3 linked regions of the Macaca mulatta genome follow. The main gene of each other region encodes a partner of the protein of the gene in region 3 in a complex. Links are inferred from orthologs where the notes say so. Each region holds a gene or a part of one and is shown on either strand. Other genes may lie near its edges.

Region 1 (4,102 bases), on a different chromosome or scaffold from region 3:
TCAGCTCACTGCAACCTCTGCCTCCCGGTTCAAGCGATTCTCCTGCTTCAGCCTCCTGAGTAGCTGGGATTACAGGTGCATGCCACCATGCCCAGCTAATTTTTGTATTTTTAGTAGAGACAGGATTTCACCATGTTGGCCAGGCTGGTCTCAAACTCCTGACCTTGTGATCCACCTGCCTTGGCCTCCCAAAGTGCTGGTATTACAGGTGTGAGCAGCCACGCCCGGCCTCTTGTCAGTCTATTTCTATTCCTCCTCCTCCTTGTAAATCAATCACCAAGTTATGTTCACTGGACCTCCTAAATATATCGAGTTACCCAATTATCTCCACCCCACTGTGACTACCCTAGCAGTTTAGGCTGCTTTCATCAAGTACTCAGGTAATTGCACTACCTCTAACTGGTATCCCTGCCTCCTCTCTTATCCTCTCTGTAATCCAATCTCTACCCTGCAGCCAGGGTAGAGATTATAAGATGTAAATTTAATCATGCCACTCTCCTACTTAAACCTTTCAAAGCTTCCCCATCTGACTACAGGATCAAGTCCAAACTCTCACATGGCTTACACAGTCCTGCCATGATCTGGCTCCTGTTGTTCACTACAGCCTTAACTCTTTATAATATGAACTCTTTTCATTCCTTGAACAGAGTATGCTCTTGTCTCAAGGTCTCCTGGAGCACTGGGCCCTCCTCTTTACCTTGCTGACTTATCCTACAGGTCACAGCTTCACACATTTCTTCTGGGACCACTCCTTCCCAGCCCCTACCCTCTCTGGGTCAGGCACCCTTGTTTTTCACTTCCACACCCCGTGTAAACCCTTCTGTATAATTCATCACATTGTATGGTATCTACAGGCAGTGAACCCCTTGAGTACAGGGTCCGCGCCTGGCTTGTTCTCCGCTGAGTCTCCAGCACCTAGGACAGGGCCTGGCACGAAGTAGGTGCACAGTGAGTAGTGAATGCTGGAGTGAATGGATGCGTGAGGGTTGGTGTCTTTTGGAAAGCAGCGCTCATTGGCTGAGAACGCCTGGGTTCTTGCTGGGCAAGGGTTAGGCGTATATTTGCCAGGGTGTTAAGGAAGGAACGGAGGGATCAAATCCCAACTCCACTTAGCCTCCCCAACACTGCCGTGGCGCCGCGCCTTTTTTCCGGCCCAACTGAACCGGAAGTGGAGGCGCGGGCTTCCCATGATGCCCCGCGGGACCTTTATTCTAACCGCAAGGAGTAAGGGGAGGAGGTCGTGATGGCGGCGCCGGAGGCGGAGGTTCTGTCCCCAGCCTCAGTCCCTGGTAAGGCGTGGGGCCCAGAGTTTGGGAAGCCTTAGGGACCCGTTTCTTCCCTACCTCCGCGCCCTCCATTTATCCCTTGGTCCTCTCCCTAGCCCATCTTCCCTGTCTTCCGGGTGTCCTACAAGGCTCTAGCTGTGACTCCATCGCCGTGGGTCGCACTGGACCCTGCTTGACTACACTTTTGACTCATTTCCCCAGATCAAGTCCCGCTGCTTTCTGAGCGGGGAGCCCTAGTTACTACCTCCGAAATACCCCCACTATCTTTCAGTCAATTAAATCTCCTCAGGCAACAGGGATCAGGAATCTCTCCCTGCCACGGCCCACACTGTAGGCTGCGGAGGGTATGGGCGTATGTCGGAGTGCCTGCTTTCTCAGGGTGGCTGGTTTGGTGGCCACAGGGAATGAGAAGACTGACTTTGGCTTTTAGGTTTTAAATTTTTCTCTCTTGTCCCTCTTTTCATCTACCAGATTTGGAGTGGTATGAGAAGTCAGAAGAAACTCACGCCTCCCAGATAGAACTGCTTGAGACAAGCTCTACCCAGGAACCTCTCAACCCTTCGGAGCCCTTTTGCCCAAGAGACTGCATAGTACCAGTGGTGTTTCCTGGGCCTGTAAGCCAGGAAGGCTGCTGTCAGTTTACTTGTGAACTTCTAAAGCATATCATGTACCAACGCCAGCAACTCCCTCTGCCCTATGAACAGCTTAAGAACTTTTACCGAAAACCTTCTCCCCAGGTAGGCACAGGCTTTGGGAGCAAGTTGGTGGGAAGACTTTGTGGCTCTTAGATGGGAGGCAGGTAGAAAGGGGGTCTAAGAAATCTTCAGAGCCTGAGAGACTAAGCAGCTTCCAGGGCTTCAGTCACTTTCTCCCCATTCTAGTCTTTGGTAGCCTAACCCTTCTGGCTTTTTCTCCTGTTCTTTCTTTCTGAAACTCGTGTTGCATTTGGTCTTAATGAACTGGCTCTTCGCATTTTTTTCTTTTGAGACAGAGTCTCGCTCTGTTGCCCAGGCTGGAGTGCAGTGGTGAGATCTTGGCTCACTGCAATCTCCCCCTCCTGGGTTCAAGGGATTCTCCTGCCTCAGCCTCCTGAGTTGCTAGGATTACAGGCTCCCGCCACCACACCCAGCTAATTTTTGTATTTTATGTTTTGAGACAGAGTCTTGCTCTGTTGCCCAGGCTGGAATGCAATGGCGTGATCTCTGCTCACTGCAACCTCTGCCTCCCAGGTTCAAGCGATTCTTGTGCTTCAGCCTCCCCAGTAGCTAAGAGCACGTGCCACCATGCCCGGTTTATTTTTGTATTTTTGGTACAGATGGAGTTTCACCATGTTGGCCAGGCTAGTCTCGAACTCCTGACCTCAAGTGATCTGCCCGCCTTGGCCTCTCCCAAAATGCTGGGATTACAGGCGTGAAATACTGCGCCCGGCCTGCATGTTTCTTTTTAATAGCATCCTGTTGTTGAATTTCTGTATGAACTTTTTTTTGCTTTGTTGTTTTTTTTTTTTTTGAGATGGAGTCTCACTTTGTCACCCAGGCTGGAGGAGAGTGGCACTATCGCAGATCACTGCAACCTCAGTCTCCCAGGTTCAAGTGATTCTCCTGCCTCAGCCTCCCAAGTAGCTGGGATTACAGGCATGCACCACCACACCTGGCTAATTTTGTTTGTTTGTTTGTTTTTGATAGGGAGTTTCATTCTTGTCACCCAGGCTGGAGTGCAGTGGCGCCATCTCGGCTCACTGCAACCTCTGTCTCCCAGGTTCAGGCGCTTCTCCTGTCTCAGCCTCCTAAGTAGCTGGGATTATAGGCATGCGCCGCCATGTCCAAATAATTTTTGTATTTTTAGTATAGACAGGGTTTCACCATGTTGGCCAGGCTGGTCTCGAACTCCTGACCTCAGGTGATCTGCCTGCCTCAGCCTCCCAAAGTGCTGGGATTACAGGCATGAGCCACCATGCCCAGCCTGTTTGTTTTCTGAGACAGAGTCTCGCTCTGTTGCCCAGGCTGGAGTGCAGTGGAGCGATTTTGGCTCACTGCAACCTCCACCTTCTGGGTTCCAAGCGATTCTCCTGCCTCAGCCTCCCAAGTAGCTGGGATTACAGGTGTGTACCACCACACCCAGTTAAATTTTGTATTTTTAGTGGAGACGGGGTATCGCCATTTTGGCTAAGCTGCTCTCAAACTCTGACCTCAAGTGATCTGCCCATCTTGGCCTCCCAAAGTGCTGGGATTACAGGTGTGAGCCACCACGCCTGGCTTACCCAGCTAATTTTTGTTTTTTTAGTAGAAACGGAGTTTCACCATGTTGGCCAGGCTGGTCCCAAACTCTTGACCTCAGGTGATCCACCTGCCTCAGTCTCCCGAAGTGGTGTTGGGATTACAGGTGTGAGCCACCGCACCAGGCCATGAACTTCTTTTGCCTGAGGATATTATTTAATTTTTGAAGTTTTTCTTTGTTCTTTGCGGCATCTCAGTTTCTTCTAGAATCCATTCTCCATTTGTTTTGTTCTGGTCTTTGACTTTCATGTTGGAGAATTTTATTGTGTCTGGTGAATATTTAAGAACAAATCACTGCAAGCTCTGTGTGCATGCCTGGGCCTTATGAGCTTATAGACTTCACTATAAGGAGATTAGGTGGCAACCTGGTGATCTCTTTGGGGGGATTCCTTAAACATAGTATTGGAAAGTCTTCCCTCTGGATGGGGGAGAAATTTGGCAGATGATCTAAGCATCTTGACACAGATTTTCATTCATTTCCCCTATATTCATTCTTGCCTCTGTGGTGCCTGTATCACCACTTCCTAAACCTTTCTGGGG
Region 2 (3,648 bases), on a different chromosome or scaffold from region 3:
TGGGCTGCAGGAAGGGGAAAAGCGACCGCCACACAACCTCTGCACCTGCAGGCTCACGGGGAATGCTCTCCCACAGTACAGGGTGCGATGGCAAGTAGGTGGGAAGAAACAGGAGAGGGTGTCATCGGATGAAAAGCACCACCTCACCACATCAGGGGATAGGCCGGCATGCCAAAGGCTGCGGGCCTGACTTAGACCTGGAGGGTGCGGGCAGGCCCCGCTGGCCCTCGTGGAGGCCCCACTCTTCCCTGAAGCGCCGCAGGCCTTCGCTGCAAAGGGCTCTCTGGACTTCGTGAGGCGCACTTAGGCTGGTGAGAGACGGACTTGTTTTTGGAGAGGATTAGATTTACTTGTGATTAATGGTGTGTGTATAAACTAACAAATGATACGAATTTGTTTAAGGGCCTAAGATTTCAGCCCCTTGTTTCTCCACTGCTGCCTGCAAACTTGGACAGCTCCACCTGTTTGCACAACCCTGCAGGTGCATGGGGACACGGGGCCGGGGTGCTCCGCTCCAGCAACCACCAGGCCTGGCTGCCCACAGGGGAAGACAGACCCTCTGGGGATGACAGGCAGGTGACAGCCAGAGGCTGCCCCAAGAGCGCGCAGATGGACCTACCCACAGAAGGTCAAAGATGGTGGGGGCTGGGGGTGGGGGGTGCCTACCTGCCACCTCCTTGGATGATGGCAGACTCGCGGCAGCAGCCTCAAGGTCGGTTGGGACGGTGCCACCTCTCTCCATGGCGCGCAGGAGCCCTCGCAGTCGCTCGCACTCTGCCTGCAGCTGGCTGTGGTCCTCACGCAGGCGCTGCCTGGCCACACTGGCGGGGTTCAGGCTCATGTGCAGCACTTTGGTCCTGCTCTGGTCATAGTCACCCTGCAGGAACACACACAGCACGGGTCACCATGGCCCAGGAAGATATGTGGCACGGGTCACACGCAGCACATGTCACCATGGCCCAGGCACACGTGCAGCACAGGTCACACACAGCACAGTGCTCAGTTATTTTGTCTTTTTGAGCCTGCCTGGCAGCCGTCTCTCCTTGAAGGAATGGCTTCTTCCCTGTGCCCTGTGGACAGGTGCAGGACCAAGGCCTGGCCACCTGCTGGGTCCCTTCTGCCTAACCACAGGAAGAGGGTGAGAGGGGACACGGCCCTGGTTCAGCGAAGCGCAGCACTTCCCAGAGTTCCATGCTTAGTGCCTGGGAGGGAGGCTTCCTCTTCTCTGAGGTTTCTGGCTGGGAGGAGGCTTGGAGCCCGTGTGGCCATGTTCCCATCTCTTCCCGGCCAGCCTGGAAGGTGCCCCGTGCCACAAGAGAAACAAGGTCAACCACACAGAGATGGAGGGCAAGGGAGCCTGGCACCGGCGTGGGTGGCTCAGGAACGTGCCTTGCGACCTGATGCTCCCGTGAAACCCAGGGCGGGGACGTGTGTGGCATCCTTGAGGTAGGAGTGCGCCTGGAGGCCCAGCCTGCTGACCTGTGGTAGGTGACCGACCCCCAGCAATGAGCATCACGCAGCCCTGCAGCAGGGGACAGCCGCCCAGGGCAGGGGACAGCCGTCCTGCAGCAGGGGACAGCTGCCCGGGACAGGGGACAGCCCCCCGGGGCAGGGGACAGCTGTCCTGCAGCAAGGGACAGCCACCCAGGGCAGTGAACAGCCACCCGGGGCAGGGGACAGCCACCCGGGGCAGGGGACAGCCGTCCTGCAGCAGGGGACAGCCGCCCGGGGCAGGGGACAGCCGTCCTGCAGCAGGGAACAGCCGCCCGGGGCAGGGAAGTGCAGGGTCACTGCGCACCCCGAGACCGCGACCTCATGCCACACATAAACATCGGTTCCACCACGTTCTGTCTCCTGGGAGTAGACACAGCTTTCTCAAATAGGGTTCAGGAAGTAGTGGCCGTAAAAGAAAAAAAAAAAAAAAGAGTACAACTGACCTTATACAAGTCAAGAACTTCATCCACCGCAACAGTGGAAAGGCACCCACAGAGCAGGTGGTGCTGTCTGAAAATCACATTTCTGAGAAAGGGTTCAGATCCAGAACATACGAAGAACTCAGAAATAACCAAGGGCATGTCAGACAACCCACTCTAAAAATGAGTCAAAAATGTGAGCAGATACTTCCCAAAGAGAGACACCCAGAAAGCTGATAAACACATGAAAAGGCGCACACACATGGGCCCGGGTCGGGGCTAGTGGCACACACACAAACACGGACTAGGACTGGGGCCAGAGACACACACACACAGGCTAGGACCGGGGCCAGAGACACACACACACATGGGCTAGGACCAGGGCCAGAGACACACACACACAGGCTAGGACCGGGGCCAGAGACACACACACACGGGCTAGGACCACGGCCAGAGACACACACACACGTGGGCTAGGACCGGGGCCAGAGACACACACACACATGGGCTAGGACCAGGGCCAGAGACACACACACACAGGCTAGGACTGGGGCCAGAGGCACACACACACATGGGCTAGGACCTGGGCCAGAGACACACACACATGGGCTAGGACCGGGGCCAGAGACACACACACACATGGGCCAGAGCCGGGGCCAGAGGCACACACACACACGGGCTAGGACCAGGGCCAGAGGCACACACACACATGGGCCAGAGCCGGGGCCAGAGGCACACACACACACGGGCTAGGACCGGGGCCAGAGGCAGGCACACACACAAGGGCTAGGACCGGGACCAGAGACACACACACACACATGGGCTAGGACCGGGGCCAGAGACACACACACACAGGCTAGGACCGGGGCCAGAGACACACGCACACACGGGCCAGAGCCAGCGCCAGAGGCACACACACACACATGGGCTAGGACCGGGGCCAGAGGCACACACACACACATGGGCTAGGACTGGGGCCAGAGGCACACACACACACGGGCTAGGACCGGGGCCAGAGGCACACACACACACATGGGCTAGGACCGGGGCCAGAGGCACACACACACACGGGCTAGGACCGGGGCCAGAGGTACACACACACACATGGGCTAGGAGCGGGGCCAGAGGTACACACACACACGGGCCAGGGACGGGGCCAGAGGTACACACACACACGGGCCAGGGACGGGGCCAGAGGTACACACACACACGGGCCAGGGACGGGGCTGGGGCCAGAGGCGCGCACACACACACACACGGGCCAGGGCTCCCGCCAAGTGCTGAAACTCTGCTGTTCGTGGCTGTCAGCTGTGGGGCAGTGAGACTGGGTGGGCACCCCGTCCCTCAGGCCCAGACACCACCAGCCCCCGTGAATGAGGGGTGTGCCAGGGAGCCAGGCCAGCTCCGTGCTTAGCAATGGCCTCCTCCCCTTTGGCAATGAGTTCCCGCCGCCCTTGGGGCTTCTGTCCGCACACTGTCCTATCTCCCAAAGGGGAACAGGGAAACATTTCATGTGTTCGGGTCACCCCACGCTCTCAGGAGAGAGGCCGGTGTGGACACATCCCATGAAGTGAAGCGACCAGGCGCAGTAAGCCTCCAGCCTCCCAGAGCCCAGGCTGTGGTGGGCCACTGCTCTCCAAGTCCCTGAAGGACGGCGAGGCCTGGCCTGGGCCGTGCCCACTGCAGGGCGCCTGAGTGGGGCTGGAGCCCGTCAGCCGTGGGCAATCGTGGTCCC
Region 3 (2,424 bases):
CTTCTCTTCCAGGGAGTCTGGAACTTTCAGAAATTTATCAAGTGTCTTAGGAAGTAGATGGCATTAAAGGAAGTACAGCAGAGCTACATCATAAATTGTGTGAATCTAATATAATTCCTTATAGTTAAAAACATCTTAGAACAATTCATTAAATGGTTCATCTAGTATATCATGTGTAGTTTTGTATATACCACCATAAATACTGTTTGAAAATTGCTGATTTAGACTAAAGGCAATTATATATATACAAATCAATGATATGTTAAACCGACAATTCTTTTCCACAGGTGACTGAGGATATCTTAGAAAATATAAATTAGAAACAAACTATATTTTATATAAAACTAGTTCAATATAATTAGAACTCAATTGGTAATAAAAACAAGTTTTGAAAAAATATATCAAAGTAGAAATAATGTAATTCCTACTTACCTGTCATCTTTTGCAGTCTTGTCACACTCAATATCAAACTGCCATCTTTCCAGGACCTCACCACTTTCAATATTTGAGATAACTACAACCAGTTTCTGAACTGAACACTTGTATAACCAATCTGCAACACATAAAAATGAAGGCATCTTTCTTGGTCCACTGCATCATAAAGTAGCTCTCTTCTCAGGTCCTACTCCCTATCCTCAGCAAATTCCTACCACTGCTATCTTGGACTTCCTCCTACGTGCAAGAAAATTTGCACCATCAATACTCTAACTTCTGTTTTCAAATTCTCAGTATCTGTACCAGGTACAGTAATTGGTGCTGAGGACAGAATACTGAACATATGGTACTTTCATCCTAATCCAAGATAAAAGCATAGGAGATGGGCATTCATCTACTCATCACACCAATAAATGACAAATTATCATTGTAATGGCTGCTATGAAAGAGAGATGTAAGATGCAATGAGAGCATAAAAGAAGGAAAATTTGAGCCACTTACGGAGGTCAGAAAAGGTTTGAGTTTAGCTCTAGGGATAAACAGCATTAAATATGCAAAAGGATAGGAAAGAAGATACAGGCCTCAAATACTCACAAGGGAAGAGCATATAACTAGAAGACTGGAAGCAGCTCACTACAAGTGCAATCAAGAAACAAACAAACAAACAAAATAAAACAATACAATCCTTGCAAGATTAATAGAAGCCAGACCACGCAAAGCCTGGTGGATCAAATTTAAAAAATATGCACTTCAAGACCAGTGAAGTCATTACTGTGTGTGAAGCAGGATGTAAAGCAATTAGTCTTGTATTTCAAAACTATCATTCTAGCTGTGATATGGAAAGTAGACTGGAGATGTTAAAGAGGGGATCTAGAGACACTAGTTGGTCCATCAGTAATTCGAGCAAGAGTTAATGAAAGCTTGTAGGAGGATAAACTGGTAGAGACGAAGCAGTAGGTAAATGTAAGAGATTTCATGGTTAAAATTTATTGGGTTTAGTCATGGTAGTAAGGAAGAAGCATGATTCAGGGACAGCTTCCAAGTTTCTTTTATTTCTGTTTGGACGGTTTAGCCACTGACAGAGAGAAAATTAAAGAGTATCAGTTTTGGATATGATCCTAAATTTAATTTTTAGTATGCTTGAGTATATGTTATCTCTGGGATAGCTACATAAAGATATAGCTGCTGAATATATGAGTCTGGAGAAAGAGGCTTTGGGATAGATATATAAGTTTGTGAGTTGACTACACAGAGGTTGCTAGTGAAGCTATACACAGGTCAGAAATCACCTATAGAGAAATTATAAAGACAGAACGGGGGCTCAGATTGAGCCTTGAAGTAATCTTGGAAATTGAAACAGCATATTCAGGAGTCAGCGAAGTTTTTGTAAAGAAACTTTGTAAAGAAAAATTACAAAAAAGAGTAATTAGTAAATATTTTAAGCTTATAGGCCACCAAGGTCTCTGTTGCTTATTTTTAAACAAACCTGAAGTGTAAAAATATTCTTAGCTTGTGGGCAGTGCAAAAACAGGCCACCTGTTGGATGCGGCCTGTGGGCCTTGTGATCCCTGGCATTTATCAACAACTTTTTATGAGTTTCACTCTGAAAAGGAGGAGACTGGGTGGTAATTTGTTCTTCCTTTAAAACTGGAGAGATGAAAACAATGGGGATAATTAAAATCAAAACACAGAAGCAGAAAATATAACAGAGAACAGGATCAAGACCCTAAAAAAGGCTAGAGGAAATGACATTCAAAACAAAACAACTGGCTGGGTGTGGTGGCTCACGCCAGTAATCCCAGCACTTTGGGAGACAGAGGTGGGTGAATCACGAGGTCAGGAGTTCAAGACTAGCCTGGCCAAAATGGTGAAACCACGTCTCTGGTAAAAATACAAAAATTAGCCGGGCATAGTGGCAGGCGCCTATAATCTCAGCTACTCGGGAGGCAGAGGTTGCAGTGAGTGGAGATCACGCCACTGCACTCCAGT

The links.
Region 1: the proteins of MAD2L1 (region 3) and MAD2L1BP are in contact, whole or in part, in a crystal structure (PDB 2QYF), measured with the Homo sapiens proteins. The link is inferred for Macaca mulatta from reciprocal best matches to the Homo sapiens genes MAD2L1 and MAD2L1BP. Residues at the interface, in NP_002349.1 of Homo sapiens: Tyr33, Arg45, Thr52, Leu54, Lys122, Asp126, Glu127, Arg129, Ser130, Arg133, Gln134, Thr136, Ala137, Thr138, Thr140, Phe141, Leu142, Leu144, Glu179, Val181, Arg182, Leu183, Arg184, Tyr199, Asp205; in NP_055443.1 of Homo sapiens: Pro61, His79, Tyr82, Gln83, Gln85, Pro88, Leu89, Pro90, Gln93, His96, Ala185, Leu187, Arg188, Phe191, Arg192, Phe195, Asp198, Ala199, Phe200, Ser201, Glu202, Leu203, Gln204, Ala205.
Region 2: the proteins of MAD2L1 (region 3) and MAD1L1 are in contact, whole or in part, in a crystal structure (PDB 1GO4), measured with the Homo sapiens proteins. The link is inferred for Macaca mulatta from reciprocal best matches to the Homo sapiens genes MAD2L1 and MAD1L1. Residues at the interface, in NP_002349.1 of Homo sapiens: Tyr38, Leu61, Tyr64, Asn67, Val68, Trp75, Gln82, Lys83, Ser89, Ile91, Glu92, Ser93, Gly94, Arg99, Gln101, Ser150, Phe151, Asp152, Leu153, Leu154, Ile155, Tyr156, Thr157, Asp158, Lys159, Asp160, Leu161, Val163, Lys166, Trp167; in NP_001013858.1 of Homo sapiens: Glu527, Arg528, Ala530, Leu531, Gln532, Gly533, Asp534, Tyr535, Gln537, Ser538, Arg539, Thr540, Lys541, Val542, Leu543, His544, Met545, Ser546, Leu547, Asn548, Pro549, Thr550, Ala553, Arg554, Leu557.

What each region holds. Positions count from the first base shown.
Region 1 is NC_133409.1:138,483,172-138,487,273, reverse strand, and holds the start of MAD2L1BP (MAD2L1-binding protein), read left to right. Parts: upstream 1-1,224; 5' UTR 1,225-1,243; coding exon 1,244-1,289; intron 1,290-1,757; coding exon 1,758-2,023; intron 2,024-4,102. UniProt on the Homo sapiens protein: May function to silence the spindle checkpoint and allow mitosis to proceed through anaphase by binding MAD2L1 after it has become dissociated from the MAD2L1-CDC20 complex.
Region 2 is NC_133408.1:35,900,790-35,904,437, forward strand, and holds part of MAD1L1 (mitotic spindle assembly checkpoint protein MAD1), read right to left. Parts: intron 878-3,648; coding exon 667-877; intron 1-666. UniProt on the Homo sapiens protein: Component of the spindle-assembly checkpoint that prevents the onset of anaphase until all chromosomes are properly aligned at the metaphase plate.
Region 3 is NC_133410.1:128,904,289-128,906,712, forward strand, and holds part of MAD2L1 (mitotic spindle assembly checkpoint protein MAD2A), read right to left. Parts: intron 554-2,424; coding exon 433-553; intron 1-432. UniProt on the Homo sapiens protein: Component of the spindle-assembly checkpoint that prevents the onset of anaphase until all chromosomes are properly aligned at the metaphase plate.